Linked DNA regions of Pelodiscus sinensis. The protein of the gene in region 2 purifies or fractionates together with the protein of the main gene of each other region. This does not show direct contact. Links are inferred from orthologs where the notes say so. Each region holds a gene or a part of one and is shown on either strand. Other genes may lie near its edges.

Region 1 (7,739 bases), on a different chromosome or scaffold from region 2:
AAAGGACCAGATTTCACAGGGGGGAGACCAAATTTCATGGTCCATGACTTGTTTTTCACGGCCATGAGTTTGGTAGGTCTCTAACCATAACCACCATCATGCTGGAAGAACTGGACACATCATTAAAAGATGACTCTAGCCCATGCACAAGAGCTAACTGTCTTGCCACAGCCCTCTTCTGCCACGCTTGTAGCAGTTCAGCCTACCTATATTTCAAGAGGGGACCTGCACCATGACCCCAGTGTTTCAACCTTTAGGCAAGTTGTAAAAGCAAGTGGATACCTTTAAGAAGTTGTACATGCCACCCCTGGATTTGTGTAATAGAGATGAGCATTTTTTTTAAAGCCTCCCATGTACATTAATAGATTAGGAAGACATGATCTCCCTTTACAGAAACTGTGTTGACTTTTGCCCAACAAATTATGTTCTTCTATGTGTCTGACAATTTTATTCTTTATTATTGTTTCAACTAATTTGCCCGGTACTGATGTTACACTTACCGGTCTGTAATTGCCGGGATCGCCTCTAGAGCCCTTTTTAAATATTAGCATTACATTGGCTATCTTCCAGTCATTGGGTACGGACGATGATTTAAAGGATAGGTTACAAGCCATAGTTAATAGTTCCACAATTTCACAGGTGAGTTCTTTCAGAACTCCTGGGTGAATGCCATCTGGTCCTGGTGACTTGTTACTATTAAGTTTATCAGTTAATTCCAAAATCTCCTCTAAGACACTTCAATCTGTGACAAGTCCTTGTCACCGACAGGTCAGGTTTGGGAATCTCCCTAACATCCTCACCAGTGAAGACTGAAGCAAAGAATTCATTTAGTTTCTCCTCAAGGACATCTTTAAGTGCTCCTTTTGTATCTCGATCGTCCAGGAGCCCCACTGGTTGTTTAGCAGGCTTCCTGCTTCTGATGTACTTAAAAACATTTTGTTACCTTTTCTGTCACCGCTGTTCCATCATGAGTCTGTAACTCACTGAACAGACTCCTGTTCAATGCCCAGTCAACAAAGGGTAACAGCCCCAGCTACAGATCTTGATTCCTCAGCTAAAGCCTGAGTCACTACACTCAGCTTTCTGCTCCTGAAGTGCCAATAGGGAGACACAAGATTGTGTGCTCAGTGGGCTATGGCTTCTCCAACCCACAACTGCTTTGCAGCCATTCCAAGCACCCCTTTAAAGGGCAGAGCCCCACTAACACCATGCCACACAGACCCCACACAGAGACAACTTGGGGGCCTGCATTCCCAGGCTGATCTGACACCTTAGTGCATCCTGCTCCCTCCACTCCAGCCATCACAGGCCTGGAAAGCAGCTCTGGGCCCTCTCAAGGCAGGAGGCCCAAACCCTGGGATGTGTTGGTGAGGCCTGGCGTGTGGAAGACCTAGGGGGGCAGGCAGGTGACCACACCGCCCAGAGGCATGGCAGAAGGAAGGGCGGCCCTCTCCTGCCTCACCATACCTGCGTCCAGGCTGGGGCCAGGTATCTAGCTGCAGGGAGCACCAGCGCAGCCCCCTGCTATGCAGAGCCCACGGAGGGGCGGAGGTTGAGGCTCAGCCTATGGCTCACCTCAACCGGTGTCCCGGACAGCGAGAGGAGCAGCAAGCCCCATGTGGGGGCCAGCATGGGATGCCTGCTCCACCCCACCTCAGTGGTCCCTACTTGTACACTGGGGTGGCCCACTGCAACCCCCCCTTGTATGCTTTTTGCCTCCTTCCTCTCAGGCTACCCACAAGTGGGCTGGGATGCTCCCCTACACCCCCTCCTTGGCACCGTCCCTTGGTCCCCTCCCACATACACACACACACCCCAGTCCCACTGCTCACCTGAGGGCTGGGATGCTCCCCTACCCCCCCTCCCGTGGGCCTCCTGATAGCCCCCCTCCCGGGCCCTAAACCCCTCCTTGTTCGCTCCACTGCATTCCCTGGGCCCTACATCCGCTCCCCCAGGCAGCCCAAGAGCCCACACCCTGGCACCCCCCTAGTCGCTACCCCCCCATTGCTCACATGAGGGGGGATGCTCCCCTCTCCCCCTGGGGCCCCACGCCCCCCTAGTCCCTACACCCCCCCGTTGCTCACCTGAGGGGGGATGCTTCCCTCCCCGCCCTGCCGGCCCTTGCCCACCTGAGGGGGGATGCTTCCCTCCCCGCCCCCCGCCCACCTGAGGGGGATACTCCCCCCCGCCCCTGAGGAGGATGCCCCCCCGGCCCTCGCCCACCTGAGGGGGATGCTGCCCCCCCACGCTCCTGAGGGGGATGCCCCCCCGCGTCCCCGGCCCCCTGAGGGGACTGCCCCCCCGGCCCTCACCCACCTGAGGGGGATGCCTCCCCCGCGCCCCTGAGGGGGATGCTCCCCGCCCCCCCGGCCCCCGCCCCCCCGAGGGGGATGCCCCCCCGCGCCCCTGAGGGGGATGCTCCCCGCCCCCCCGGCCCCCGCCCCCCCGAGGGGGATGCCCCCCCGCCCCCCGAGGGGGATGCCCCCCCGCGCCCCTGAGGGGGATGGTCCCCCCCCGCGCCCCCCCGAGGGGGATGCTCCCCGCCCCCCCGGCCCTCGCCCCCCTGAGGGGGATGCCCCCCCCGCGCCCCTGAGGGGGATGGTCCCCCCCCGCGCCCCTGAGGGGGATGCTCCCCGCCCCCCCGGCCCTCGCCCACCTGTGGGCCGGGATGCGCTGCGAGCCGCGGCCCTTGCCCACCAGGAAGTGCACGTCGCTGAGCACCTCGTTGTTGAAGAGGAAGGCGAATCGCTCCTGCACCGTGGGCTTGGTGGCCTGCCAGTTGTACACGGGCTCGCGCGGCAGCGCCCCGCCCCCGGGCCCCGCCGCCCCGGCCGCCGCCGCGGGGTTGCCGGCCCCGCACTGGTTGTAGGTGAGGCCCGGCGGCGCGGCGGGGGCGGGGGCGGGCGCGGGGGCGGCGCAGGCGGCGCCGTTGCCCGGGGGGGGCGGCGGCTGCGGGCCGGAGGAGGAGAGGCCCCCGGGGCCCCCGCCGCTCCCGCCGGCCGCCATCTTGTGCGCAGGAGGCGCGGGCGGGGCAGGGCGGCGCGGCGGCGGGCGCGGGGCGGGGGCGCTGCGGCGGCTGAGGCACAAGGCCGGGCAGCAGCGGCGCATGGGGCTCGGGCGCGGCGGCGCGCGCAGGGGGCGGGGCGTGGGGGCGTTGGGGGGCAGGTAGGGGTGGGGGGGTATGGCAGGGATGAGGCCGGGGGGGCAGTGGTGGCCATGAGGAGGGTGGGAGATGGAGGGTGGGGTGCGTGGGGGTGAAGGGCATGAGGAGGGTGGGAGATGGAGGGTGGGGTGCGTGGGGGTGCAGGACATGAGGAGGGTGGGAGATGGAGGGTGGGGTGCGTGGGGGTGAAGGGCATGAGGAGGGTGGGAGATGGAGGGTGGGGTGCGTGGGGGGTGCAGGACATGAGGAGGGTGGGAGATGGAGGGTGGGGTGCGTGGGGGTGAAGGGCATGAGGAGGGTGGGAGATGGAGGGTGGGGTGCGTGGGGGTGCAGGACATGAGGAGGGTGGGAGATGGAGGGTGGGGTGCGTGGGGGTGCAGGGCATGAGGAGGGTGGGAGATGGAGGGTGGGGTGCGTGGGGGGTGCAGGGCATGAGGAGGGTGGGAGATGGAGGGTGGGGTGTGTGGGGGTGCAGGGCATGAGGAGGGTGGGGTGCGTGGGGGTGCAGGGCATGAGGAGGGTGGGGTATGTGGGGGTGCAGGGCATGAGGAGGGTGGGAGATGGAGGGTGGGGTGCGTGGGGGTGCAGGGCATGAAGAGGGTGGGGAGATGGAGGGTGGGGTGCGTGGGGGTGCAGGGCATGAGGAGGGTGGGAGATGGAGGGTGGGGTGCGTGGGGGTGCAGGGCATGAGGAGGGTGGGGTATGTGGGGGTGCAGGGCATGAGGAGGGTGGGGAGATGGAGGGTGGGGTGCGTGGGGGTGCAGGGCATGAAGAGGGTGGGGAGATGGAGGGTGGGGTGCGTGGGGGTGCAGGGCATGAGGAGGGTGGGAGATGGAGGGTGGGGTGCGTGGGGGTGCAGGGCATGAGGAGGGTGGGGTGCGTGGGGGTGCAGGGCATGAGGAGGGTGGGGAGATGGAGGGTGGGGTGCGTGGGGGTGCAGGGCATGAGGAGGGTGGGAGATGGAGGGTGGGGTGCGTGGGGGTGCAGGGCATGAGGAGGGTGGGGTATGTGGGGGTGCAGGGCATGAGGAGGGTGGGGTATGGGGGCAGGAGAAACGCAGGAGGGGAGAGGTCAGGCTTGAGGCCTGCATTGGGGAGTGGGAAGGGAGAGGCAGGGCAGGAGGGAGAGGTGTGAGGGACAGGAGAGTGGGGAATGGAGGAGGGGGCGGGGAGGCCACGAGGAGATTGGGAGATCGAGGGTAAGGGTTAGGGAGACCTGAGTGTGGGGGCGATGAGGAATGCAAGGAGAGGGGTATGTTAGGTGTGAGGCCTGTGGGGGGCGCAGTAAGGAGAGGGAGAGGTGGGAGGGAGGAGAGACATGCAGGAGGGGGGAGTCTTAGGGGAGAGAAGGAATGAGGGGATGGAGGAAGCCCAGCAATGGGAACCTGAGGAACTTCTTGGTATTTCCATGTCAGTTACAAATTGTCTTGACTGCATGATTAGCCAGATAACCCTAATTTAACACCCTTACATCTCACCTTGGTGAGTGGAGGGCTTATGAGGAAGAGGCAGCTTCTCATGAAGGTTAGGTAGCCTGTTGGGGAAACAGCAACACTTCAGTGGCGGGTGACCTGCAGCCCAAAGGGTTCGACCGATGGCCTGCAGGACGTTTTGTTTACCATTGCCCATGCACAGAGTTGTCAGATTCCCCTGGTTTCTGTCAGCATCGTTTTTCTCCTGCCAGTATTACTAAAATAGAGCAAGGGTGCATGCAAGGAGGTGCGTGCTGATTGCACACAATGGTGACTGTGAGAACTAGGCACTCTCCCTGCATCCAATCAAGGCGCTGCTATGGTTTAATTGGCATACCCTGCAAATTCTAGGTATGCAAGCACTGTTAGGAAAACTACCCTATCCCACAAGACAGTCTTGGTTACAACAGTCTTGCGGTCCACTGAGATGAAGGAGGGCTACTCCTGTGGCCCACTCACTAGTCTACGTTTATCCCCTGAAGAATAAGCCTGAAGCACCATTCTGTCATCCCTTTGCACTGGTGCAAACCAACCTTTTCCAAAAGCCAGATACCAAAACTTCAGCAGCACCTCAAGGCTATGTTGATTACTGCTCTGCAATCCCTTACAATCCTTAGGCCAAGGAACTGATGCTCTGTGGCTGATGTACCTGCTCTTTTCTCTGTGTTCCTTATCTTCAGAGATACTGCTCGCCAATAAGCTGATACCTCATGTGTAACATCTGCTGTGTAGGCATGTATTTCACACCAACCTTGCACCTCACCTCATTGTACGCTGCTGCGGCCATGGAGATACTGTGGAAACGTGAATGCCTTGCAAGATAACACAGCAGGATGTGCATGCTGCCTGGCAGATGAGATAAATTATTTCACAGCCAGCCAATATTCCTTACATAGGAAATGGCAGGGATGTCAGAAGGAACCTGAAAGGCAGCAGATGGGCAGGTGCAGACAATCACAAGAGCCCATATTGGCCCAAACTTGATAGCCATTAAAACAAGGCGGCTACGTCTACACTGGCACCCTTTTCCGGAAATGCTTAAAACGGAACAGTTTTCCGTTATAAGTATTTCCGGAAAAAGCACGTCTACATTGGCAGGATGCTTTTCTGGAAAAGCACTTTTTCCGGAAAAGCGTCTGTGGCCAATGTAGATGCACTTTTCCACAAAAAAGCCCCGATCGTCATTTTTGCGATCGGGGCTTTTTTGCGGAAAAGACTGCTGTACTGTCTACACTGGCCCTTTTCCCGAACAGTTTTTCCAGAAAAGGACTTTTGCCCGAACGGGAGCAGCATAGTTTTTCCGGAAAAACACTGACAATTTTACAGTAGATCGTCATTGCTTTTCCAGAAAAGCAAGCGGCCACTGTAGACAGCTCGCAGCTTATTCCGGAAAAGCAGCTGCTTTTCCGGAATAAGTGGCCCAGTGTAGACACAGCCGGCGATTTTATTTGCCACAAAGAAGGGAATAAAACTCCCTGCTCCTCCTTGTTCTCTGTTCCATTGGTGACATTCTGCCTGTGGATGTACATACATACACATTTCAGAGCAGACTCTTTGTCCTTGGTTCCACCGGTTGAATAACTGCTCAGCCAGGAGGCATATTTTCTTCCCCTTGTTTTTCTGTGGTTTTGATTCTTGTTTGCTTAATCCACAATGACACACTGTTTATATGGGTCCAAAGCTCCAACCCCTCTGTGCGTCCCAGCAGTTTCACAGATAAATCACTGCATCAGCTAAGGAATACATCATTAGGGCATTGATCTAGTATCAAAAGCTTTCCCAACTCGTTTGGTAACAAATATATGGAGTCTGCTGTGGCGACGCCGACACTGAACAAAGAAGAATGGAGTATATAGCGGGGAGGTGAAAGTGTAACAGTGTACATGGTTAACCAGTGAGCCTGGGTTCCTCAGTTAACCTTGATGGTTAACACACAGGCTCCTGGTATGCACAGAGCCCGTGCGCACCAGCTCCCAGGGAGTAAATGTGTAACTGCTGAAATTTTCATAGGTTACACATTTACTTAATTAAATGCATTTTAACATCCCTAATCTATATGGACAAATTCTGCAGATGTGTGGCTAAAAATTAAGAGCCCAGTTTTGCAAATACAATATATATGTAAAAAGACAAAGTGGGTGATGTAACATATTGGATCAACTTCTGTTGGCAAAACAGACAAGTTTTCAAGCTTACATGGTGCTCTTTAGGGGTGCATTTACACTGCACCGGTTTTCTGGAATAACAGCCATTATTTGGGAAAAACTACTAGCGTTCACACTGCACTTGTGTTATTTTGACAGAAAGTCGAAATAACAGATGGCGGTAAACTTCATTCTATGAGGAATAAGCCCTTTTCTGAAAAAACGTTTTCGGAAGAGGGTGTGTATAGACACTCCACTGCTGCTATGTTGAAGTAGCTCCTCACCAGGGCCATTCCTCCGCAGTGCCTCCTGGGGCTCTAAGTCAAGACAGCGCGTCCACATTGGGGGAGCCTGCCTCAGACTAATTTGGAGGCGTCTCTGTAGTGTGCATGCTCTATTTTGAAATAAGCTTTTCCGGAAGATATCTGCCAGGAAAGCTTATTCCGAAAGAAGTTTGCAGTGCAGACGTACCCCAGGTCTGGGAAGGGTACTAAAGTGTCACAGCTAAATACAAGGGTACAAGAGATAAGGCTTTAGCACATCTGGCAAGAGACCATGGAGAAGTGGGCAGTTAATGTATCAATCATCACAGGACAAAGGATTAGTGGGTTACAGATTGTTGTAATGAGCCACTCGTCTAGTATCTTTATTTAAAATCAAGGAGTCCTGTGGCACCGTAAAGACTAACATTTATTTGGGAAAAACCGAGTGGCCCTGTAGCACCTTAGAGACTAACAAAAATATATAGATAGAATCATGAGCTTTAGTGAGCACAATCTGCTTCTTCAGAGGAGCAGAGCAAAAAGGAGAAAAACCCCAATTCTATATATTCTATATATTTTTGTTAGTCTCTGAGGTGCTACAGAACCACTTGCGTTTTTTTTTAAATTATAAACTAACCTGGCTACCTGTCTGAGATTTATTTGGGCATAAGATTTGGTAGACAAAGACCAACTTTGTC
Region 2 (7,996 bases):
GCACAGAGAGGTTTCCGGCCAGGCCAAGCACAAAGACCAGGCTGTAAACCACAGGAAACAGCACATACTGGAAGTCGGCTTGTTCCCCACAGCCTGAGGTCTCATTGGAGGGCAGCGCTGAGACATTCACACCCACGGACCACCAAGGCTGAGAGGAAGGGAGAGAGATTAGAAAGGCTCTGCCAGTGCCCTTCACTCCAGACCTGCAGCCCCTGCCAGCCCAATCCTGCCCCCCGCCCTGCCGGTATCCCTCACTTCAGACCCACAACCCCTATCAGCCCAGCCTTGAGCTTCTCCAGTCCTGCCAGTGGCCCTCACTCCAGCCCCTCCAGCCCTCCTGACCGCAGCCCCCGCCAACCCAATCCTGCCCCATGCCCTGCTGGTGCCCCTCACTCCTGACCTGCAGCCCCTACCAACCCAATCCTGCCCCCCAGCCTTGCCAGTGCCCCTCACACACAAACCACAGCCCCTGCCAGCCCAAACCTGCTTCCCCCTAGCTCTGCCAGTGGCCCCACAAATAGGGATGTTAAAATGTGCCTAATTAAGTAGCCATGCAACTGCTGAAATTTTACACAGACAGACACCAGGTGGCAGTTGACTCCTCAGGAGCCGGTCGGTGCACAAGGGAGTCAGCTTTTAAGCTGACCCCTCACTCCTGACGTGCAGCCCCTGCCAGCCCAGCCCTGCCGGTGCCCCTCACTCCTAACCCACAGTCTGCTAGTTTCACTTTCCAGTTGGTTTTGACAGCCACAGCTGGGCTGGGGCCCAGAAATCAGCTTTGTTTGTGTCCCATCTGGGGGCCCCTAGGGCAACGTGAGGGGTCATGTCCCCTCAGGAGCTGAGCTCCCCGATGCGGGTTAAGGATGTTCAAATGCATTTATTTAGGTAAACATGTAACTGCTGAAAAACTGAGCCACCTGTAGCACTGGGGAAGGGAAGGGAGGGGGGAGACACAGGCAGGAGGTGGTGCACACAGGAAGCCAACTTAAAAGCACAGACAGCAGTAAGGGGGGCATATACTGGCATATACTGGCTCTGCGGGAGCCAATATGTGCAGAGAGCCCCCATGCTGCTAACTCTGATCCGGGGAGAGGGGTGTTGTTGCATCCAACTATGAGAGTTAACTGATAACACATATTTACACTATCACATCCCTAGTGCAGGTGGGGCCTGGGTCCCAGAGCCCTGGGCACACTTGGGCCCAGAGGGATCCTGGGGGGAGACCTGTGGTTTCCCTGAAGGGTTTGCAGGCGGATATTGGGAAAGCCCAGGACAGCCTGGCACCCAGTGTCGCAACCAAAATGCCACTTAACGGGCTCTGCAGCCAGCTGAGCAAACAGGCGGGTCCCCGCTGGGGGAGGAGTGGGGGCCAACAGGAGCCGTCAAGCTCAGTGCCTGACAGGGGTGTGGGGTGGGAAAGGGGGAAGCCGGGCTCAGAGCCCAGCTGCATCCAGGTGGGCAGAAAGAAATTCAGGAGCAACTTGACAAAGAATTGCCACGCTCTGCTCTAAACCCTCCATCCCCCAGTGCCCCCAGCACCATCTAGTGGTTACAGCAGGGGGCCAGGACTTCTGGGTTCTCTCCCCTGCTCTTGGAGGGCTCTGGAATCTCCACAGAGACCCCCCCCCCATCCTATTTTGAACCCTGCTCTGTCCCAGACCCCATGGGCAAAGGGTCCATGGGCAAAGGGAAGAAACAATGTGGCTTCAGACCAAAGATCTGCCAGCCTGGCTCAGCTTTGGGACAGAACACCTGGGGGTGGGGGGAAGCTTAAAAATTCTCCCAGGTATCAGTTCTGAGGCCCCTTCATTCCCATAGCCATAGCCGGAGGAGGGGAGTATCAATCCCCTTCTCCTCCTTGGAACTTCTCTCTCCTCTGCCTGCTCAATCCTCCTCTCAGGACCTGGACTCCGCTACCTCCAGCCAGCCCCAGACACCCTGCCCTTCTTCCGCTGTCCCTCAAGCCAGAAGACCCCTGTGCCAGCCCCCTCAGCTATGTGACTCACCCCAGCCATGGGAACCGTCTCCTACTCCTGTTTCCGTAGAGTCCAGTCTCAGACTGAGCAGCTCGACTCACCCTGTTGAGAAATGCCCTGCCCCTCTCTCCAAGCAGGGAGGAGGTTCCCAGAAGAAAGGGGTGGGAGGAGAACACCCTAACCCTGGGCAGATCAATCCCCAGTAAATTCAGCCCAGCCCTGAGTGGGCTGCTGGTGGTCCCAGCAAGTCCTGGTTATGGGGTTCATGTGTTTGGGGTGAGGCTGCCCAGCTCTATTGCCAAGGGGCAGCTGGTCTATGCCTGGGCATCTTGCATGCTACCTGGCACCCTGCCAGAGGGGCACCAGCTGGTAGGCATTACACCAAGCGTACAGACCTGCCACAGCTCCCCGGCAGTGTTCTCCGATCCCTATATACAGGCAGTCCCCGGGTTATGTACAAAATAGGGACTGTAGATTTGTTCTTAAATTCAATCTGTATGCAAGTCAGAACTGGCATCAGCCGCTGCTGAAACTGATCAGTTTCAACCGCAGCTGAATCTGGACACCAGTTCTGACTTACATACAGATTCAACTTAAGAAACCCAGGCGTCCCCAAGTCAGCTGCTGCTGAAACTGATCAGCAGCTGATTCCAGGAAGCCTGGGGCAGAGCAACTCTGCCTCGGGCTTCCTGTAGTCAGCTGCTGGTCAGTTTCAGCAGCTGCTGACTTGGGGACGCCTGGGGCAGAGCAGCTGGGGTGCTGCTGGGTTGCTCCAGTAGCGCCGCTCCTGGAGCAACCCAGCAGCACCCCAGCTGCTCTGCCCCAGGTGTCCTGATTCAGCCGCTGCTGAAACTGTCCAGCAGCGGCTGAATCAGGACGCCTGGGGCAGAGCAGCTGGGGTGCTGCCGGGTTGGTCCGGAGCGGCGCTGCGGGACCAACCCGGCAGCCCCCAGCTGCTCTACCCCAGGGGTAGGCAAGAAAAGCCTGGTCTGCTGGGGGGGGGGCACTAGCTGCACCCCCCCCCCCAGCAGACCAGGGAGACAGGGGTGGCGGGACCGCCCAAGTCCTCCACGGCTTTGCTCCGTCTCCCTGGTCTGTTGACCTGGGAGACACAGAGCAAAGCCGCAGAGCACGCGGGCAGCGGGACAGTCCAGGCGCGCCACGGCTGTCCCACTGCTGGCGTGCTCCGAGGCTTTGCTCCCCATCTCCCTGGTCTGGAGACGGGGAGCAAAGCCGCAGAGCACGCCCGCAGGGGGACAGCTCAAGCGCGCCCGGGCTGTCCCGCTGCGGGCGTGCTCCAAGGCTTTGCTCCCCGTCTCCCTGCAGACCAGGGAGATGGGGAGCAGCTTTTCTCGCCCCGGAGGACGAGGGCGGCAGACCATGGTGCATCTGGGCGTCCCGCCGCTCCCGTCCTCCGGGGCGAGAAAAGCCCCGTTCGTAACTGCGGATCTGACATAAGTCTGATCCGCGTAACTCAGGGACTGCCTGTATGTGCATGGCCCAGGCACTGTCATCCCCTGTACCCTCCCCCCCACATTCACTGCCTCTTGCACACTCAGGGCCACACGAGATACAGGCACAAATGCACAAAGGCGAGTAAACAGACATTGTGACAAAAACAAAACAAACACACTTGCACAAGATACAAGAACAAACGGAGACCCTCATAACACAAAAACACACCAAGCAAAGTGACACACGAGATAGGGGCACAAAGACACAGTCATGTAAACAGTGACCTACACACCATGGAAACATATATATACAAAGGTACACACCCCTGCAGACCAGCATATTTGTACCCTTTCTTCCTGTTGTCGGGGTCTCGAACCCGGACGGCCTCTGTTCGTTGTCTGACCGCAAAGAGACAGGCAACACCAGCAAGATCCAATCACAAGCTCTTTATTGAATAGTGCGCACTTACAATAGAGAGCGGCCCGTCTCCAAAGAGAACCAGCCCCGATTTCATTAACAGGCAGGCTTATATAGACAGTTCCATCATGTCATAGACTATTTGCCCAAGCAACCCACCCCTCTTTATCAGTTAGAAACTTTTAGTATCCATGCACACCTGGCCAACTATACATCATGGCCTTAAGCAATTCAGAATGCATCAGCAATTTCTTATCAGCCCAAAAGATAGGTACTGGGCAACAAGGAGACAGTTTGTTATGGCCAAAGGAGAACATAAACAGGGAATTTGGAACAAACAGGGGGAAAGTAGAAACAGGGAGTCTCCTTATCAGTTCTCAAAACAAACTGTTCCTTATCGTAGCAGGTACAAAAATGCAGCTTTTTACTTATTTCAGTTTGCAACTTGAGCAAGCCTGTAGGGTGCGTCCCTGCTTGAACCTATCTCCAGTTCTGCCCAGGGACTACCCAGAAATCTTTGTTACATTTGCTTTAGCATAACTGCACTAGGCCTAATTTTCTAGGGCCTAACACTGTGCAGTCACACACACCCTGCAGGCCTCTTTTCGCTCACACATGACTTGCACGCCCACACACACCGCTTTGCACACTCGCGCCACCTTGCACACTCACACGTGCCTTGCACAGCTGCACACACAATATACGCCCCTATTCACCCCTCCCCCGACGTGATAGCTCGGTTTTGGCTGACTGGCCCGGCGGTGCCGGGAAATTCCCCCAGATTAAGTAACCGGCTTGTCCGTTTCCTGCTGCCGCGGGCGCCCGGCGGGGGCGGGGTGAGAATGCCACCTGGGGGGGGGGCGGCACTGCAGTGCGCGTGCGCAGGAGTGTCGGTGCCGATGGGGCGCACGTGCGGGGGTGCGTTCACACGAGTGTGTGACATGGGTGTGTCACAAGTGCGTGAGACCACGATTAGCCCAGAGGCCAGGCGGGAAGCCCGGGGGCTGGTCCCAGCCCTGGCCCACGCAACCGGGCGGAGAACCCAGGAGTCCAGGGTGACGCAACAGCCCCTCCTGTGCATGCGCATCTGGGGGAGGGAGTCCGGCCGGTTCCTGCTGCGCATGCGCTGAGGACACCTGGCTCCTCCCCCCCCTCGCGTGCGGGGATGGGAGCGCATGCGTGGAGTGGAGAGCTGCGTACGGGCGCCGGGTCGGGACACACGGAGCCGAGATGGCGGCGGCCGGAGCCTCCTGCGCCGGCAGCAACGGGGCCGGCGGGATGGAGGTGGACGCGGCAGGTGCGGGGGGGGGGCGGGGCCTTGCGCCTTCCACCCCAGATTCCTCCCGTTGTCACTCGCGCCGCTCCTCCTCAGGACTCCGCCCTCTTCCCCGCTGGCTCGGCCCCCCCCTTCCCTCAGACTCTGGCACCGCCCATTCTCAGGTCACGCCCCTCCTCGCCTGTTCCCCCTTCATCCAGAAGCTCCGCCCCTTCCCCACTCATACTCTGCCGTTGGCTCAGCTCCTTCTGCTTGGCCACGCCCCCGTCCCGATACACGCCCCCTTCTCTTTGGAGCTCCGCCCCTCCCCCATCTCTTCCCATAGCCCTGGCTGGGATGATTTAGTTGGGTTGGTCCTGCCTTGGGCAGGGGGCTGGACAGATGCTTCCTGAGGTCTCTGCCAGCCCTGGGATTCTGTGATTCCTGCCCCTCACCCCACTGACCATGCCTCTCCCCCCAGTGCTTCCCACCGTGATGGCCTCAGGTGTGACGGGCAGCGTCTCTGTGGCCCTGCACCCACTCGTGATCCTCAACATCTCTGACCACTGGATCCGCATGCGCTCACAGGAGGGACGCCCTGTGCAAGGTATCAACCCCGTCCCTGCCCAGGCAGCCCCCCCACCCTGTGCAAGGTATCAACCCCGTCCCTGCCCAGGCAGCCCCCCCACCCTGTGCAAGGTATCAGCCCTTCCCCCACTCGGGCAGCTGCCCAGTACAGTGGCTCCCCTCCCCCTAACCAGCTCAGGCAGCCACGCGCCCAATCCCTAGTGTCACTGAAAGTTATGGGGTAGTCACCCCCATGCCCATCCTCAACCAGAAGTGACTCTCAGCCAGTAGGTAGGACAGAAAGTTTAATAACTGACAGGGATGCAGCGTAGAACAGACTTCTTACCCCAGAAACTAGAAGCAGCCAGCACAATCCATCTAGAGAGGAGGGGGAGCTCTGCAAGCCATTCCCAGCTCCTGGTCCCATGCCCCCCAGCCAGGCCCCTCCTCTGGCCTTTGTCTTCTTCCCAGGCAAAAAGTGTCACCTGATAACACCCCCTTCCTGGGTTCAGATTGCAGAAGGCATCAGCCATTTGCATGTGGGGGAGGCTCTGTCACCCAAATTCTCATCCTCATCTACGTATTAGTAGAGTGCTCAGGGAAACTGAGGCACACACACAGGGTTACTATAGGACAGTAGAACCTACCTGCAACATCATAAAGAGAATAAAACTTCCACAATCCCCATGTCATGACACCAGCTGGGTCCTGCGTGGCTAGCATGGTACCTGTTCCCAGTCTGATGCCCCCTTCATCCAGAAGCTCCGCCCCTTCCCCACTCATACTCTGCCGTTGGCTCAGCTCCTTCTGCTTGGCCACGCCCCCGTCCCCGATACACGCCCCAGAATCCTGTCCCAGCTCTTCCTCCTCCTCCTTTCCTCAAGCAGCTGACCCTACCTGCATGCCTCTGCCTTCATGCCATACCAGAGATTAGAGCAAATCTGCCCCCCACCAGGGCCCCACATGCTCCCTACTGAGCCAGGGAAGGAGGAAGCAGCTCAGGAAGCAATGAGTCCTTGATGGGGTAGGAGTGCCAGGCCTGTGGGGGTCCTGATTTAAGAGGTCCCCAGTCAGCCCCCCTGGGCCCATAACACAGCTTCCCTCTGTCAGTGATTGGGGCACTGATCGGGCGGCAGGAGGGCCGGAACATCGAGGTGATGAATTCCTTTGAGCTGCTGTCCCACGCGGCAGAGGAGAGCACCCTCATCGACAAGGAGTATTACTACACCAAGGAGGAGCAGTGTGAGTGTGCAGGAGATGGGAGGCTGGCGGGGACCCATCTTGACACTACTTGCTGCAGTTATCACTGAGGGAAGCCTGTCAGTGATGCTATTCTGTGGTGTAACTGCTGGGGCTGGGCAGCAGTGAGCAGCAAAGAAAATGCCTCACAGTCCAGCCTGCTACCAAGTGCCCGAGCTGGGACCAAAGCCCTGGGGTGGGGGACTGCCCCTGAAAAACAGGGACTCTGGAAAGGGTAGAGGGGCCTCTGGTGATGGACAGCTCACCACATGCTGCAGCACAATGACATATGCACGGGGGCATGGTAAGCAGCCCCCCTGCCAGAAGGGGAATTTGACCCCTTGTGGCAATCTATTCTGGGTCCCCATTTTACAAAGGGTATGCAAGGGGCAGGAGGGAGCCATCCTGCTGCTTCAGGGCTTGGAGAAGTGGTTCCCTCCTTCCCCTGCCCGGCTGGCGCTCTGGTTAGGTGAGGTGCAGAAGTGCCATCATGGGGTGAAAGGGGGCAGGCATGTGGGAGACAGCACCGGTGCTGGTAGGCTGTGACTTAGGGCAGAACAGGAGCTAAAACCTGAGCAGTGCAGGTTGGTACAAGGGGGGATCCCAGCCAGGCTGGAATTAGCCTTTTCAACTCTTCCAGGGCACATTTCCAGTCTGGGGACAGGTCCGGTTCCATGCTGCCCTGCCCATCTGCTGATCCTGCTCCTCTCTTTCCCTACCCCACAGTCAAACAGGTTTTCAAGGATCTGGAATTTCTGGGCTGGTACACAACAGGCGGCCCCCCGGACCAGTCTGACATCCACGTCCACAAACAGGTCAGCCCCCTCTCCTGGCTCCCAGACCCCTGCTCTTACCCACCAGCCTCCACTTCTCTCCCAGAACTGGGGAAAGAACCCAGGAGTCCTAGCTTCCAGCCCCTCTCCTCTCCCACGATCACTAGAGCCTTTGACAGCTGATCCTGACTGGTTTGGCTAGGAGGCTGTCAAGTACTGGCACTTCATCTACCCCTCTCAGCACTGCCATGTTGCTCCTACCCTCTGCCTTGGAGCTGCCCCTCACCCCCCTGGGAGCTCTTGCTTGCTGTGCC
Region 3 (7,001 bases), on a different chromosome or scaffold from region 2:
CCCCATGTGATTCCATCCCCAGTCCGCCCTTTCCCCCCAGGGCTCCCCATCCCATCCCCATCCCCTACGGCTCCACATCCCAGAGTCCCACTATTCCCCCCAGAGCTCTGCAGTCCATCCCCTCCCCCCAGGGCTCCCGATCCCAACACCCCGCTACCCCCCCGCAGAACTCCCCCCAGGGCTCCCCATCCCAACACCCCGCTCCCCCCCCGCAGAACTCCCCCCAGGGCTCCCCATCCCAACACCCCACTGCCCCCCCCGCAGAGCTCCCCCCATAGGTCCCCTCCCCCCAGGGCTCCCCATCCCAACACCCCACTGCCCCCCCCGCAGAACTCCCCCCATAGGTCCCCTCCCCCCAGGGCTCCCCGCCCCAGCACCCCACTGCCCCCCCCCGCAGAACTCCCCCCATAGGTCCCCTCCCCCCAGGGCTCCCCATCCCAACACCCCACTGCCCCCCCCGCAGAACTCCCCCCATAGGTCCCCTCCCCCCAGGGCTCCCCGCCCCAGCACCCCACTGCCCCCCCCGCAGAGCTCCCCCCATAGGTCCCCTCCCCCCAGGGCTCCCCATCCCAACACCCCACTGCCCCCCCCGCAGAACTCCCCCCATAGGTCCCCTCCCCCCAGGGCTCCCCGCCCCAGCACCCCACTGCCCCCCCCGCAGAGCTCCCCCCATAGGTCCCCTCCCCCCAGGGCTCCCTGCCCCAGCACCCCACTGCCCCCCCCGCAGAGCTCCCCCCATAGGTCCCCTCCCCCCAGGGCTCCCCATCCCAACACCCCACTGCCCCCCCCGCAGAACTCCCCCCATAGGTCCCCTCCCCCCAGGGCTCCCCGCCCCAGCACCCCACTGCCCCCCCCGCAGAGCTCCCCCCATAGGTCCCCTCCCCCCAGGGCTCCCCATCCCAACACCCCACTGCCCCCCCCTGCAGAGCTCCCCCCATAGGTCCCCTCCCCCCAGGGCTCCCCATCCCAACACCCCACTGCCCCCCCCGCAGAGCTCCCCCCATAGGTCCCCTCCCCCCAGGGCTCCCCATCCCAACACCCCATTGCCCCCCCCGCAGAGCTCCCCCCATAGGTCCCCTCCCCCCAGGGCTCCCCATCCCAACACCCCATTGCCCCCCCCCCGCAGAGCTCCCCCCATAGGTCCCCTCCTCCCAGGGCTCCCCATCCCAACACCCCATTGCCCCCCCTGCAGAGCTCCCCCCATAGGTCCCCCCCCAGGGCTCCCCGCCCCAGCACCCCACTGCCCCCCCCGCAGAGCTCCCCCCATAGGTTCCCCCCCAGGGCTCCCCGCCCCAGCACCCCACTGCCCCCCCCGCAGAGCTCCCCCCATAGGTCCCCTCCCCCCAGGGCTCCCCGCCCCAGCACCCCACTGCCCCCCCCGCAGAGCTCCCCCCATAGGTCCCCTCCCCCCAGGGCTCCCCATCCCAACACCCCACTGCCCCCCCCTGCAGAGCTCCCCCCATAGGTCCCCTCCCCCCAGGGCTCCCCATCCCAACACCCCACTGCCCCCCCCGCAGAGCTCCCCCCATAGGTCCCCTCCCCCCAGGGCTCCCCATCCCAACACCCCACTGCCCCCCCCTGCAGAGCTCCCCCCATAGGTCCCCTCCCCCCAGGGCTCCCCCCCCCAGCACCCCACTGCCCCCCCCGCAGAGCTCCCCCCATAGGTCCCCTCCCCCCAGGGCTCCCCATCCCAACACCCCATTGCCCCCCCCGCAGAGCTCCCCCCATAGGTCCCCTCCCCCCAGGGCTCCCCATCCCAACACCCCATTGCCCCCCCCCGCAGAGCTCCCCCCATAGGTCCCCTCCTCCCAGGGCTCCCCATCCCAACACCCCATTGCCCCCCCCGCAGAGCTCCCCCCATAGGTCCCCCCCCCAGGGCTCCCCGCCCCAGCACCCCACTGCCCCCCCCGCAGAGCTCCCCCCATAGGTTCCCCCCCAGGGCTCCCCGCCCCAGCACCCCACTGCCCCCCCGCAGAACTCCCCCCATAGGTCCCCTCCCCCCAGGGCTCCCCGCCCCAGCACCCCACTGCCCCCCCCGCAGAGCTCCCCCCATAGGTCCCCTCCCCCCAGGGCTCCCCATCCCAACACCCCACTGCCCCCTCCTGCAGAGCTCCCCCCATAGGTCCCCTCCCCCCAGGGCTCCCCATCCCAACACCCCACTGCCCCCCCCTGCAGAGCTCCCCCCATAGGTCCCCTCCCCCCAGGGCTCCCCATCCCAACACCCCACTGCCCCCCCCTGCAGAGCTCCCCCCATAGGTCCCCTCCCCCCAGGGCTCCCCATCCCAACACCCCACTGCCCCCCCCTGCAGAGCTCCCCCCATAGGTCCCCTCCCCCCAGGGCTCCCCATCCCAACACCCCACTGCCCCCCCCGCAGAGCTCCCCCCATAGGTCCCCTCCCCCCAGGGCTCCCCCCCCCCAGCACCCCACTGCCCCCCCCGCAGAGCTCCCCCCATAGGTCCCCTCCCCCCAGGGCTCCCCATCCCAACACCCCATTGCCCCCCCCGCAGAGCTCCCCCCATAGGTCCCCTCCCCCCAGGGCTCCCCATCCCAACACCCCACTGCCCCCCCCTGCAGAGCTCCCCCCATAGGTCCCCTCCCCCCAGGGCTCCCCATCCCAACACCCCACTGCCCCCCCCGCAGAGCTCCCCCCATAGGTCCCCTCCCCCCAGGGCTCCCCCCCCCCAGCACCCCACTGCCCCCCCCGCAGAGCTCCCCCCATAGGTCCCTCCCCCCAGGCCCCCCCGCACCTTGAGGGTCACGTCGCAGAGCTTGCCCTGCCTCCGGATCTCGCCCATCACGCCGTAGCCCCGGCTGGGCAGGTCCCCCACCGAGAAGTGCACCAGGTCCTCGGGGTCCAGCTCCGGCTCGGCCGCCTCCAGCATCGTCCCGCCCGGCCCGGCCCCGCGCTCGCAGGGCAACGCGGGAGAGAGGAGCCGCCTCCGCCTCCGCTCGCGCCCGGCCCGCGCTGGCCCCTCCCGGCCGCCGTCACCAGCCGGGGCCCGACCCCCCTCACGCCCCCGCCCCGCCCCGCCCCTCCGCGGCGGAAATGCGCTCCCCGCTTCCGCCTTCCCTCCGAGCACGTTCCGGACGCGGCCGGAAGGGGCGGGAGTCATGGTAACGGAGTGTACAGCCCGCGGCCTCCGCTGCGCCCCGGGCCCGGGCAGCGACAGGAGCAGGCGGCGGCGGGAAGAGCGGCCAGCCCCGGTCAGTGCCGGGCCCCTGCCTGCGGCGGCACCGCCTCCCCGCCTCCCCCGTCGGCCAGCTCGCCCGCCCCCCCACCTCCCCGCCTCTGCCCTCATCGCCCCCCTGCTCCCTCCCCCAGCTCACCCGCCCCCCCACCTCTGCCCTCATCGCCCCCCTGCTCCCTCCCCCAGCTCATCCGCCCCCTCTGCCCCCTCCGCCTCTGCCCCCTCCCCATCGCCACCCCGCCCCCTCTGCCCCCCTCCGCCCCTGCCCCCCCATCGCCTCTGCCCCCCCGGCCCCTCCCCATCGTCCCCCGCCCCCCTCTGCCCGCTCCCCATCGCCCCCCCGCCCCCCTTGACCCTGCCGCCTCCCCATCGCTCCCCCCGCCCCCTCCTCCTCTGCTCCCCTTCTGCCCTCCTCTGCCCCTGCCCCTCCCCATTGCCACCCCGTCCCCTCACCCCCTCCGCCCCTGCCCCCCCCGCCCTCCTCCGCCTCTTCCCGTTCCCCATCGCCACCCCGCCCCCTCTGCCCCTGCCCCCTCCCCATCGCCTACCCCCGCCCCCTCTTCCCCCTCCCCATCGCCACCCCGCCCCCTCTGCCCCTGCCCCCTCCCCATCGCCTACCCCCGCCCCCTCTTCCCCCTCCCCATCGCCACCCCCGCCCCCTCTGCCCCTGCCCCCTCCCCATCGCCTACCCCCGCCCCCTCTTCCCCCTCCCCATCGCCACCCCCCGCCCCCTCTGACCCCTCCCCATCGCCACCCCTGCCCCTGCCCCCTCCCTATTGCCCCCCTCTGTCCCGTCTGCCCCTGGCCCCTCCCCATCGCCACCCCCGCTCCCTCTGGCCCCTCCCCCTCCGCCTCTGCCCCCCCTCTGCCCTCCTCCGCCTCTTCCCCCTCCCCATCGCTCCCCATCGCCACCCCGCCCCCCTCTGCCCCCTCCGCCTCTGCCCCCTCCCCATCGCCACCCCGCCCCCTCTGCCCCCTCCCCCAGCTCACCCACCCCCTCTGCCCCTTCCGCCTCTGCCCCCTCCCCATCGCCACCCCGCCCCCCTCTGCCCCCTCTGCCCCTTCCGCCTCTGCCCCCTCCCCATCGCCTCCCCACCCCCCTCTCCCCCTTCCGCCTCTGCCCCCTCCCCATCGCCTCCCCGCCCCCTCTGCCCCCCTCCGCCTCTGCCCCCTCCCCATCGCCTCCCCGCCCCCTCTGCCCCCCTCCGCCTCTGCCCCCTCCCCATCGCCACCCCGCCCCCCTCTGCCCCCTCCGCCTCTGCCCCCTCCCCATCGCCACCCCGCCCCCTCTGCCCCCTCCCCCAGCTCACCCGCCCCCTCTGCCCCTTCCGCCTCTGCCCCCTCCCCATCGCCACCCCCGCCCCCCTCTGCCCCCTCCGCCTCTTCCCCCTCCCCATCGCTCCCCATCGCCTCCCCACCCCCCTCTCCCCCTTCCGCCTCTGCCCCCTCCCCATCGCCTCCCCGCCCCCTCTACCCCCCTCCGCCTCTGCCCCTTCCCCATCGCCTCCCCGCCCCCTCTGCCCCCCTCCGCCTCTGCCCCCTCCCCATCGCCTATCCCCACGCCCTCTGCCCCTTCCGCCTCTGCCCCCTCCCCATCGCCTATCCCCACCCCCTCTGCCCCTTCCGCCTCTGCCCCCTCCCCATCGCCTCCCCGCCCCCCTCTGCCCCCCTCCGCCTCTGCCCCCTCCCCATCGCCTCCCCGCCCCCCTCTGCCCCCTCCGCCTCTGCCCCCTCCCCATCGCCTACCCCCGCCCCCCCTCCCCCTTCCGCCTCTGCCCCCTCCCCATCGCCACCCCGCCCCCTCTGCCCCTTCCGCCTCTGCCCCCTCCCCATCGCCTCCCCGCCCCCCTCTGCCCCCCTCCGCCTCTGCCCCCTCCCCATCGCCTACCCCCGCCCCCCCTTCCGCCTCTGCCCCCTCCCCATCGCCACCCCGCCCCCTCTGCCCCTTCCGCCTCTGCCCCCTCCCCATCGCCTATCCCCACCCCCCTCTGTTCCCATCCCCCTCTGCCCCCTCCCCATCGCCTCCCCGCCCCCCTCTGCCCCCCTCCGCCTCCTCCCCATCGCCACCCCGCCCCCCTCCCCCAGCTCACCCGCCCCATCACCCTCCCTCGCCCCCTCCGCCTCTGCCCCCTTTCCATCGCCCACCCCCGCTCCACTCCCCACCCTCCTCCACCTCTGCCCCCCTCCCCATCGCCTACCCCCGCATCTTTGTCTCCCCTGCCCCTGTCTCCCAGGCTTCCCCGTCCTTCTATCACCAAAACTGTCCCATCCCACCTCCTGCTGATCCCTGTCACTATCCCCACCTCCTAGGCATCCCATCCCCACTTTTGAGATACCCTCATTTCCCAGCCATCACTATTACCGTCTCCACTGGCCAACTATCTGTGACCCCCTGTCACCATCCCTGGGCCCATGTCTCCATCTCCCAGCCAACTCAGTCCCCCTTGATTCCCATCCCCATCCTTGTGTCTCACCTATCCTTACATTCCCAGCTCCCAGTCTTCCCCGTCCTTGTCCATGCCATCTCCATGTCACTGCCACCGTCCCCGCTTCCCACCTATCCCTGTGTTGCCACTTATCCCAGCCATTCCTGTCTATGTGTCTCACTGGTCCTGCATGATCACCGCCAACAACACACCCCAACAAACCCCTCACCGTCACCTCCTCCAGCCTCGCTTGCTGGATTGCATCATCCTCTTCCCCATTGCCCAGCCATCTCTATCTCATATTGCCAGCGCACCCATGTCTCCATGTCACCACCATCCTCACTCATCCGTGTATCATCTCTGAGTTCATCCCAGTGTCCCAGCTCTCCCAGGGCTCCTGCATCACCTCCTCTTCATGCTCTCACAGCCATGTGTTAGCATTGTCTCTCTAACCACGTCTCAGGCACTTCAACATGTGTCTGACTGCACAGTTGGGGAGATTGGAAAGGGGCTGTGGAATCTGGCACTTCTGTGTGGTTGGTTAAAAGCCTGTGTGAGTGAGTGATTGTTGGTAAAGTTGGCAGGCTGTGTGGCAGCCTGTGTGGAATGACCTTGGTGGGTCTCAATCCAGTGAAAAAGTGCCCATGTCACAGCCGTCACAGCCAACACAAATTGGCATCCTTGTTGCAGTCTGTCCAGAAAGGCCAATGCCTGAATGGGCCATAGTGGCTGAACTCCCATTCTTACGTGTAGCTGTGAACCTGCTGTCAATGGTAAAGAATCACAGGAGCCACTGTCTTCTAACACTGAATAAGGAATTTTATTTGAATAAGGAAAATTGCATTAGCCCTCTCTCACCTTTGAGCGTCGGCTTAGAACCTTCCCTAGCTCCCTTTTCCTACCTGTCTTCTTTCTACAGCCTTAAAGAAACAGTGCCCCTTTCCTCACAATTTTCTTGTCAAGGTAGAATCCCATTGCTATGAAAGATTACAGTACCAGTGCCTGAACCTTACCTGGTCTTTGGATTAAAAAAAACAACAACTGCACTGTCCTGGACCATCACTAGCACTGACTCCATGTGAGAGTCATAGCCCAGAAACCGCTGGCCTGAATAGTCATGTGTATCTGTTTAATCTCCTCCAGGTGTCCCCACAAGCCATTATCCCTATTCATTGGTGAGTATATGCGTCAGATGAGATGGTGAGAATCTTCCAATCTCAGAGCCTAATCCCATAAATCCGTAGCTGGCGCGACCATCATTCAGTCCTGTGGGAATTTAGTGCATCTCAGGCTCACAGGATTGTATCCTAATTTAGACTAACATTATGAAGTAGACCCAATGTCTGACATATCACCAGATAGTGGTCAGAGTGTGGAAAGGTTTTA
Region 4 (7,331 bases), on a different chromosome or scaffold from region 2:
AAAGATAACACTAACGTTTCTTGACAGAAAGCATGGTTTACAGAGATCTGGAAGAAATTTTACCGAGTTTTGCTGGAAATCTTTTTTTGTCTGAATACTAGAAATAAAGAGCTCAGACTTAAAACCTTGCATTTTTTCCATATGCAAGATATTTTGGAAATTGCTTTTGAGCCGATGTGTAATAGAATAAGTGTGCAATTATGTGGTTACTAATAGTGTAATAAGAAAGGTAAAATATAAGTGTTGCTTTTATTACTTTTTAGTCTAGTTAGTTTAGCTAGTCTTTATCAGTTTGCTCTTCCCTGTCTGCTTCTTCATGTCTCCGAAGCTATTTGAGAATTTTAAATGCTGTATACTTAGAACTAGGGATGTAAAATGCTATTTCATTGGTTAACTGATTAAACAAATTGTTTAACTGGTTAACTGAGTAAAGGGAGGGGGCGTGCCCCAGCCCAGTTGGGGTGGAGCAGTCTTGCTACCCCAGTGCTGCTTCTCCTCTAGGGATGTAAGAGAGCAGTCAAATTCTTGACTACCCGATAAGCCTAGGCTGACTACTTGCATTCCCTCCTGCCCCTTGCAGCCTCTGTATGAGGGGCATCAAGGGGGGGAAGCAGGAACCATTGCTGGGAGGAGCTGATTTAAAAGCCCGTTCCCCCAGCACCGTCTCTCTGGTGAAGCCTTCCCCTCCCCTGTGCGGCTGCCTCTATCAGGTACAGCAGTGTGTGTGTAGTGGGGGGAAGGAGAGGTTGGCCGCAGTGGGCTCAGGCTCGCAGTGAGCAGAGGCTGCTCCAGCAGCAGTCCCTGTCTGCGAGGGGTAGAGGGTTGGGGGTGGCTGCTGGACCTGATGTGAAGACTGAGCAAGCTTGGCTCAGTCCCAGTTTGTAGTGGGTTTGGGACCTATCCTTGCTGCAGCTCTGCATTTTAAGTGTACAGATTGAGCCTCTCTAGTTCGGCACCCTTGGGACTTGACCAGTTCTGAACGAGAGGATTTTCTGGACTACAGGAAGTCAGTATTGTCTAGCAGCATTACCAACACTTCCACTGAGAGCTAGGACTGGTGGCTGTAAACAAACTTTATTGGACTGTGGGAAACTTGGCCACATCCATGAAAGGTGGACATCCAGCTAACTAAAATCATTCTGGACAACAGATGTTTCTGGATGAGAGAGTACTGGATTAGAGAGGTTCAACCTGTAGTAAAATGTGCACCTGGCTCTGACTATATTTAAAATGCAGAGCCATAGCTGTGGTAGGTCCTGGACCCGGCTCAAGTTGGGACTGAGCTGGGCTGCCTGCGCACCCAGCTCTTACTACATTTAAACTGCAAAGCTGCATTGGAAGTAGCTCTTACATCTGGCATGATCTGGGACTTAGCACCTTCCCCTATAGACTAATTGTGTAGTCAATACAATTACCTGCCTCTTAACATCCTGACTGTCCTCTCCTCCCCTGCTGCAGACAGTGGCTGCTCTGGACAGGCTGGAGTAGCCCCTGCCTGCAGGTGCCTGGGCCCACTGTGGATGGGGCTGCCATGGCAAGTGGGGAGCTGCTCTAGGCCACACTGTTTAACTAGTTAACCTTTCACATCCCTATTTAGAACCTGCTAGGTGATTTCATTTGGAGTTGAGAGTGCAAAGTAGCTTGCATGAGGTACTCAGTGTAGAAATGCCACTGCTAATTAAGGTGTTATGCAAGCTAAGAAACAGGGAGTGCCCTGGCTTCCGTGTAAATCTTGGTGAGATTAATAATGATGAACAGTTGCATTACAAAACTTCATTATAAATGCTTTGGAATTTATTCAGTCTATATGCAAACATTCCAATCATGCAAAAATTAAAGTAGCCTTGAAGTCTTGGTTTGCAGATGTGCCTCCAAAGACACTCATATGCAGAAAAGAACCTGGGAGAACTGAAAAACAGAGGTGGTGGATATCCTGTTTTGGAACCCAGTGAGACAGAAAGAGTTCATCTTATCAGAAGACGGGAGATACTAGTTTCCTGGTGGAAGCCTTTTGTGTGATCCCTGTGGCCAAATTATGCTCTCAGTTTTACTGGTTATATATTTAGGTACACTGAAATCATTCCAGGTTTATGGCTGTGTTATTGGGGGCAACATTTGGCCTGTTCTTCATGCTATTTGCATATTGTGTGAATACAGTAATTTCTTAACTGTAGCCCTCTAAAAAAGGGTAACCATGTCTAGCAAGGCTATGCTTACTAAGATGTAGCTGTATTACAGAAAATAAATGTCTTCCACAAAGCTCAAAGAAAATCCTCTTGGAATAGTTAGTGTCAAATTTCCCCCTTGTTTATACTCCAGTGAGAGAATAACAAGACTATTTGTATTGAATGAGGTCCCTAATTATTTTTTTCAAATGAGACTACAAATAATTGCTTTTTAAATTACTTATTTATATACTTGAGTATTTATATAATGTTGGAATTCCTTAATCTCTCTGAATTTCATATATTTATCATTTCTCCATGAGTATGTTTATTTTACCATTTGAATAAATGTTGCTTTTTATGCAGGTATCATTTTATACTGTGTATCATAGTTATAATTTTATTAAACATTAGGCCCTAGTAAATTGTACAGTATCAAGGTTGTTCAGTTCACTTTGCCTAGAAAAATAACCTAGCAGTTTGCATACTCAATGGGTTTGATCCTGTTTTCACTGAAGTCTATTAGAAATCTACCATTGGCTTCTATAGGAGCAGGATTGGAGCTCATCTGTATGTTTTCCTTTTTCTATCAGCTGTATAAAGAACAAAAGCATTTATGTCTAGTCTGACCCAATAAAATATTGATGGATACTTAAATTAATCTATTGTAACTTATTTAATCTATGATCTTTGTGCTAATTACCATGGTGGTGACTGTACATCCAGTTATCAGAACCATCACCAGATACGCTATAATTTGGTCCTAATCAAATATATAAAACATAACTGTCTTCACCAGAACCCATTCCCCCTTCCAGCAGCTGGGATCTTCATAGGAGGCCACTGTTGTTCCACTCCACCTCGACCTTCAGAAATGGCTCTTTAACTTTCCTTACCTTTGGTGCCAGGATCTCCTCCAGTGACACACTCCCTAACCAGTGTCAGTGTTCAGTCTTCAAGAAACGGATCTTTTTCCACCCTGCAATACATGGGGCCTTATTTGGAATTCAGAGGGGAGAGAAGGATAGCTTTTGTTCTGTTAATTTTTAAGACTATTTTGTAGTTTCAAAATACTCTGTGTTGAATAATGTTAATAATTACTTCTCCTTTCTTTTTGATGGACTATTTTTTGAGTGTGGGGAATAACACCCAGGAAAGTAGTGTTAAGGCTGCAAGTAACAAACAAGCAATGCTTCTGAAAGCATAATGAAGGCTTTGTTGTGCAATAGCTAGTAAAATTTTTATAGTGGTACATAAGACAACATTTCAATTCATGTATCAGGATGTAGTCAGATGTTAGTAATTAACAAGGAAAAATAATGTGGAACCATTACAGTGCAGTAGGTTTGTGATCAATTTAGGATGTATTTATCTGCTAATTTTACAAAATTACATAAAAATGTAAAATAGAAGCCTTCCTTTTTGAGAACTTAAGGTCTCTGTCCAATGTATCTTACTGTGAAATCTCAACCCTAGCATCAGAGAAATATAAGAATTGTCATACCTGATCAGACCGGTATTCCTACCCATCCGGTATCCAGTTTCTGATAGCTGTCATTGCCAGATGCTTCACAGGAAAGTGTAAAGAAAGATTGAAGAGTTATGGAATAACCTGCTCACAGGGAAAGACTTTTCCTAATACCTCTCATGCAGAAGTTGGCTTATGTTCTGAAGCATGATGATTTATATTGTAAATCATATAATGGATATCAATAGAGGGCCTATTGCTAAAATTGGTTTGATAATTACTGATTTGGGTTTGAGCATGGGTTCATTAGCATCTAGAGCAGAGATTTCCCACCAGGGAAGTGCTGTTCTCCATTCTGTATGCAAATAAAGATGTCTGTCTGTCCTCTCCTGTCTTCCATGCTGTTGTATAGGGGTGTTTACTTAATCCTATCACCCTTGTCTAGAGGGTTTAGGTGTGTCTTCCTCTGTCTTTGTCTTTGGTTCAAGCAGAGGGCTGGAGTGAGGTGGGTGTCCTCCATGAGCACCACACCCTGGTTCCCCAAGAACACAGAGCTTGTAGGTAACAGAAGTCTACTGTCAGGACAGCACTTATGCAAGTGTGCAGGGCAATAAATCATATTTTGCTGTGTAGGACTGGGAGTCTGAGAAATGTGGATGACATAAATAGTGGTTGACTTTGCTGAAATGGTCTTTCTAAACTGGCGGGGCAATTGGCACATGTATTCCCATTATAGCGCCACCCCGCCTGCCACAGACTACATCAATCGGAAGGGTACTTCTTCATGAAGCTTCAGGCACCTGTGGATCACTGTAGGCATTTCACAGATATAAATATGGGGTGGTTGGAGAAGTGCACGATGCATGCGTTTTCAGGAACAGTGGCTGTACAGAAAGCCTCAGGCTGACTTTCTTTCCATAACAGAAAATTAGTGGAGGAAGTGGAAATGATCCTAGGTAACCCCAACTTACCCCTTACAGACCTGGCTCATAAAGCCTTACAAGGGGCACTTCAACAGTAGTAAGAAGCGGTTCAGCAACAGGCTAAGCTGATGCCACATTGCTGAATGTGCCTGTGGGAGACTGAAAGGGAAATGGAGGTGTCTCAGTGGACTTTTTGGAGGATCATATCCCCAAGATGGTGGCTGCATGCTGTTGCTCATATAATTTGTATGAGAGTTAGGGTGAAGTGTTTGCCTGTGGGTGGAACAGTGAGAGACAGCACCCAGATGCACAGTTTGAACAGCCAGACAATCATGCTGTCGGAGGAGCCCGTAAGATGGCTTATCAATATCAGGGAGGCTTTGAGGAACTACTTTGACAATAAGGGGCGCTGACATTTCTGTGTGTTGGGGTTGTATCCCTGCTTCATTCCACTGCTTATCCTGAAGAAGGCATTCCCATGAAACCCAGGGATTTTACAGGCTTCAGCCGGGGCCAGAGCAATTTCATAGAGGGATAAGGGATCTTTCGTAAAAGGCTTTATTTTCCGCAAGATCAGTGTCTAGACTGGCGCTTTTTTCTGGCAAAGCTCTGTGCCGAAAAAAAAGCGGCAGCCATTTTTATGCTAATGAAGCAGGGGAGATTTAAATTCCTGCTTCATTAGCAATTGCAATACGTCTAATTTACATCTCTTTTACGAAAAAGGGATGTAGTCTAGACGTAGCCAACCCGTCATGCTGTCAACTTCGACCTGGTCCTGAACCTAGGTTGGTATGCACTTTATTTGTGGGGAAGCGGTTGGTACCAAGATGTTTCTTAGCCAGGCATTCTGTTACAACTTCTCTGGAATGTGTTTGCAGCCTGTGCCTGGTACCTTTTGGCATTCTTTATGCTTGACCTGGCTTATATTATTTTTCTTTAGCCAAGCCTCTTTCCTGCCTCCGGTTTCACTGAGCCAAAGTCTTGTTCACTAGATTTCAGGCCTGCTGTTTTTATGTTACAGGCCTTTAACTTACTACAGGCCTAAGTGACTTGGCTATGATTGTCTATTAAGTCATCAAGAGAGCCAGGAACTTAACTGAAATTTCCTTCATGCCTACTTGGTACCAACTACAAGGCCACCCTCCCAAGTCTCCTCTTGTACGTGTGTTGATGGAGCCCTTTTTGCAGGAAAAGTTGGCCTTCTCCAATAACTTTTTTTCTCAAACCAATCTGCATGATATCTGACTCTGGTCTATTTTAGTGTGTGTGTTTTAAATTTTCCCAGTTTGAAGTGAATCAGATTGTTTTACAGATTTCTCACTTGAAAATAATTCAGACTTGTTATTTTGGAATTTCTCAAGAACTGCTTCTCTGAGAAACCACACCAAGGGTTAGTCTTCAATGAAAGTGAGTTCCTTTTGAATCTCCCCCCCCCCCCCCGCCCCCTGCCCCATAGTAGTCAGAAAACTCTTAGTTGCAATTCATTCAGCTTCATCCTCATGAAGCTATGGGAGAGAGAAGGCATAATTTGCTGTCATGTGCAGCAGGTAGTAGAATGTTCCCTAAGGAAACATGGATTTCAGTACAAGCATGGAGGACTTGGGTATTTGTCTTATGGTATAGATATTGACACTACCAACCTGTTTGCCACATAGTAGGATTTAGAGCAGGGATGGGCAAATTCCAGCCTGCAGGTTTAGTTCCTGGTGGGCCCCAACCTCCATATTTACCTGTGCTTCGACAGGTATCCACGGATTACTGTCCACAGACAATGAGAGCACCAGGAAGCACTGTCCCAGTCTGCCTCTCCCCCAGCCGCCTTTCAGTTGACTGAAATAGGCAATCTGTGGCCCACCCCTGATTTTGGTGCCATGGCCTCATTTCCCCTCCACTGTACCCTCCCCCCCAAATTTGTCCTTTCTCTCCTTTGCCATCTGAGGGTACGTCCAGACTACATGCCTCCGTCGACGGAGGCATGTAGATTAGCCAGATCAGCAGAGGGAAATGAAGCCGCGATTAAAATAATCGCGGCTTCATTTAAATTTAAATGGCTGCCCCGCTCTGCCGATCAGCTGTTTGTCGGCAGATCGGGGCAGTCTGGACGTTCCCGTCGCCAGAAAACCCTTTTGTCGACCGCCCCGTTATGCCTCATCCCACGAGGCATAACGGGGCGGTCGACAAAAGGGTTTTCTGGCGACAGGGGAACGTCCAGACTGCCCCGATCTGCCGACAAACAGCTGATCGGCAGAGCGGGGCAGCCATTTAAATTTAAATGAAGCCGCGATTATTTTAATCGCGGCTTCATTTCCCTCTGCCGATCTGGCTAATCTACATGCTTCCGTCGATGGAGGCATGTAGTCTGGACGTACCCTAAGTTAGAAGATAGCATTGGGGCATGTTGACTTCTTAAACGTGCTTTTCAGTCTCTAAGTGGCAGAGCCTGAGTCCACGCACTTCAGGAAGTAACTCCTTCGCAGCGGGGAGGAATAGCTGACTGGTGTGAGCATGGGCCTGCTAAAACCACAGTTGCGAGCACAAACCTTAAGGGGGCTATTTAGGGAATCGGGGGCAAACTCTGCCAGGGATGGTTCTCGGTCCTGCAGTGAGGGCAGGGGACTGGTCCCTTCCAGCGCTATGAGACGGCTAGGTATAGCTCCATAGACCAGCACTGTAACCAGGGTTCCCCACAGCCAGCCCGAGGAAAGGTGCGGGCTTGCCAGACAGAGGGAGCGGGGCTTGCAGGGGTTGCGACGCGCACGCGCGTGTCGCGAGGGG

Evidence for each region.
Region 1: the proteins of COPS6 (region 2) and BTBD2 purify together in Homo sapiens (affinity purification with mass spectrometry; 4 studies listed by BioGRID and IntAct, counting the BioPlex papers as one, with this or other methods). This does not show direct contact. The link is inferred for Pelodiscus sinensis from reciprocal best matches to the Homo sapiens genes COPS6 and BTBD2.
Region 3: the proteins of COPS6 (region 2) and KLHL18 purify together in Homo sapiens (affinity purification with mass spectrometry; 3 studies listed by BioGRID and IntAct, with this or other methods). This does not show direct contact. The link is inferred for Pelodiscus sinensis from reciprocal best matches to the Homo sapiens genes COPS6 and KLHL18.
Region 4: the proteins of COPS6 (region 2) and CUL4B purify together in Homo sapiens (affinity purification with mass spectrometry; 8 studies listed by BioGRID and IntAct, counting the BioPlex papers as one, with this or other methods). This does not show direct contact. The link is inferred for Pelodiscus sinensis from reciprocal best matches to the Homo sapiens genes COPS6 and CUL4B.

Annotation. Positions count from the first base shown.
Region 1 is NC_134729.1:27,664,245-27,671,983, reverse strand, and holds the start of BTBD2 (BTB/POZ domain-containing protein 2), read right to left. Parts: upstream 3,007-7,739; coding exon 2,657-3,006; intron 1-2,656.
Region 2 is NC_134734.1:7,454,181-7,462,176, forward strand, and holds the start of COPS6 (COP9 signalosome complex subunit 6), read left to right. Parts: upstream 1-4,986; 5' UTR 4,987-5,078; coding exon 5,079-5,145; intron 5,146-5,584; coding exon 5,585-5,710; intron 5,711-6,780; coding exon 6,781-6,912; intron 6,913-7,635; coding exon 7,636-7,724; intron 7,725-7,996. Other genes in the region: lysophosphatidic acid receptor 6-like, read right to left, coding at 1-148, 2,007-2,015. UniProt on the Homo sapiens protein: Component of the COP9 signalosome complex (CSN), a complex involved in various cellular and developmental processes.
Region 3 is NC_134712.1:255,873,336-255,880,336, reverse strand, and holds the start of KLHL18 (kelch-like protein 18), read right to left. Parts: upstream 3,002-7,001; 5' UTR 2,884-3,001; coding exon 2,749-2,883; intron 1-2,748. Other genes in the region: kinesin-like protein KIF9, read left to right, coding at 6,733-6,790. UniProt on the Homo sapiens protein: Substrate-specific adapter of a BCR (BTB-CUL3-RBX1) E3 ubiquitin-protein ligase complex required for mitotic progression and cytokinesis.
Region 4 is NC_134723.1:33,773,084-33,780,414, reverse strand, and holds the start of CUL4B (cullin-4B), read right to left. Parts: upstream 3,005-7,331; 5' UTR 2,888-3,004; coding exon 2,869-2,887; intron 1-2,868.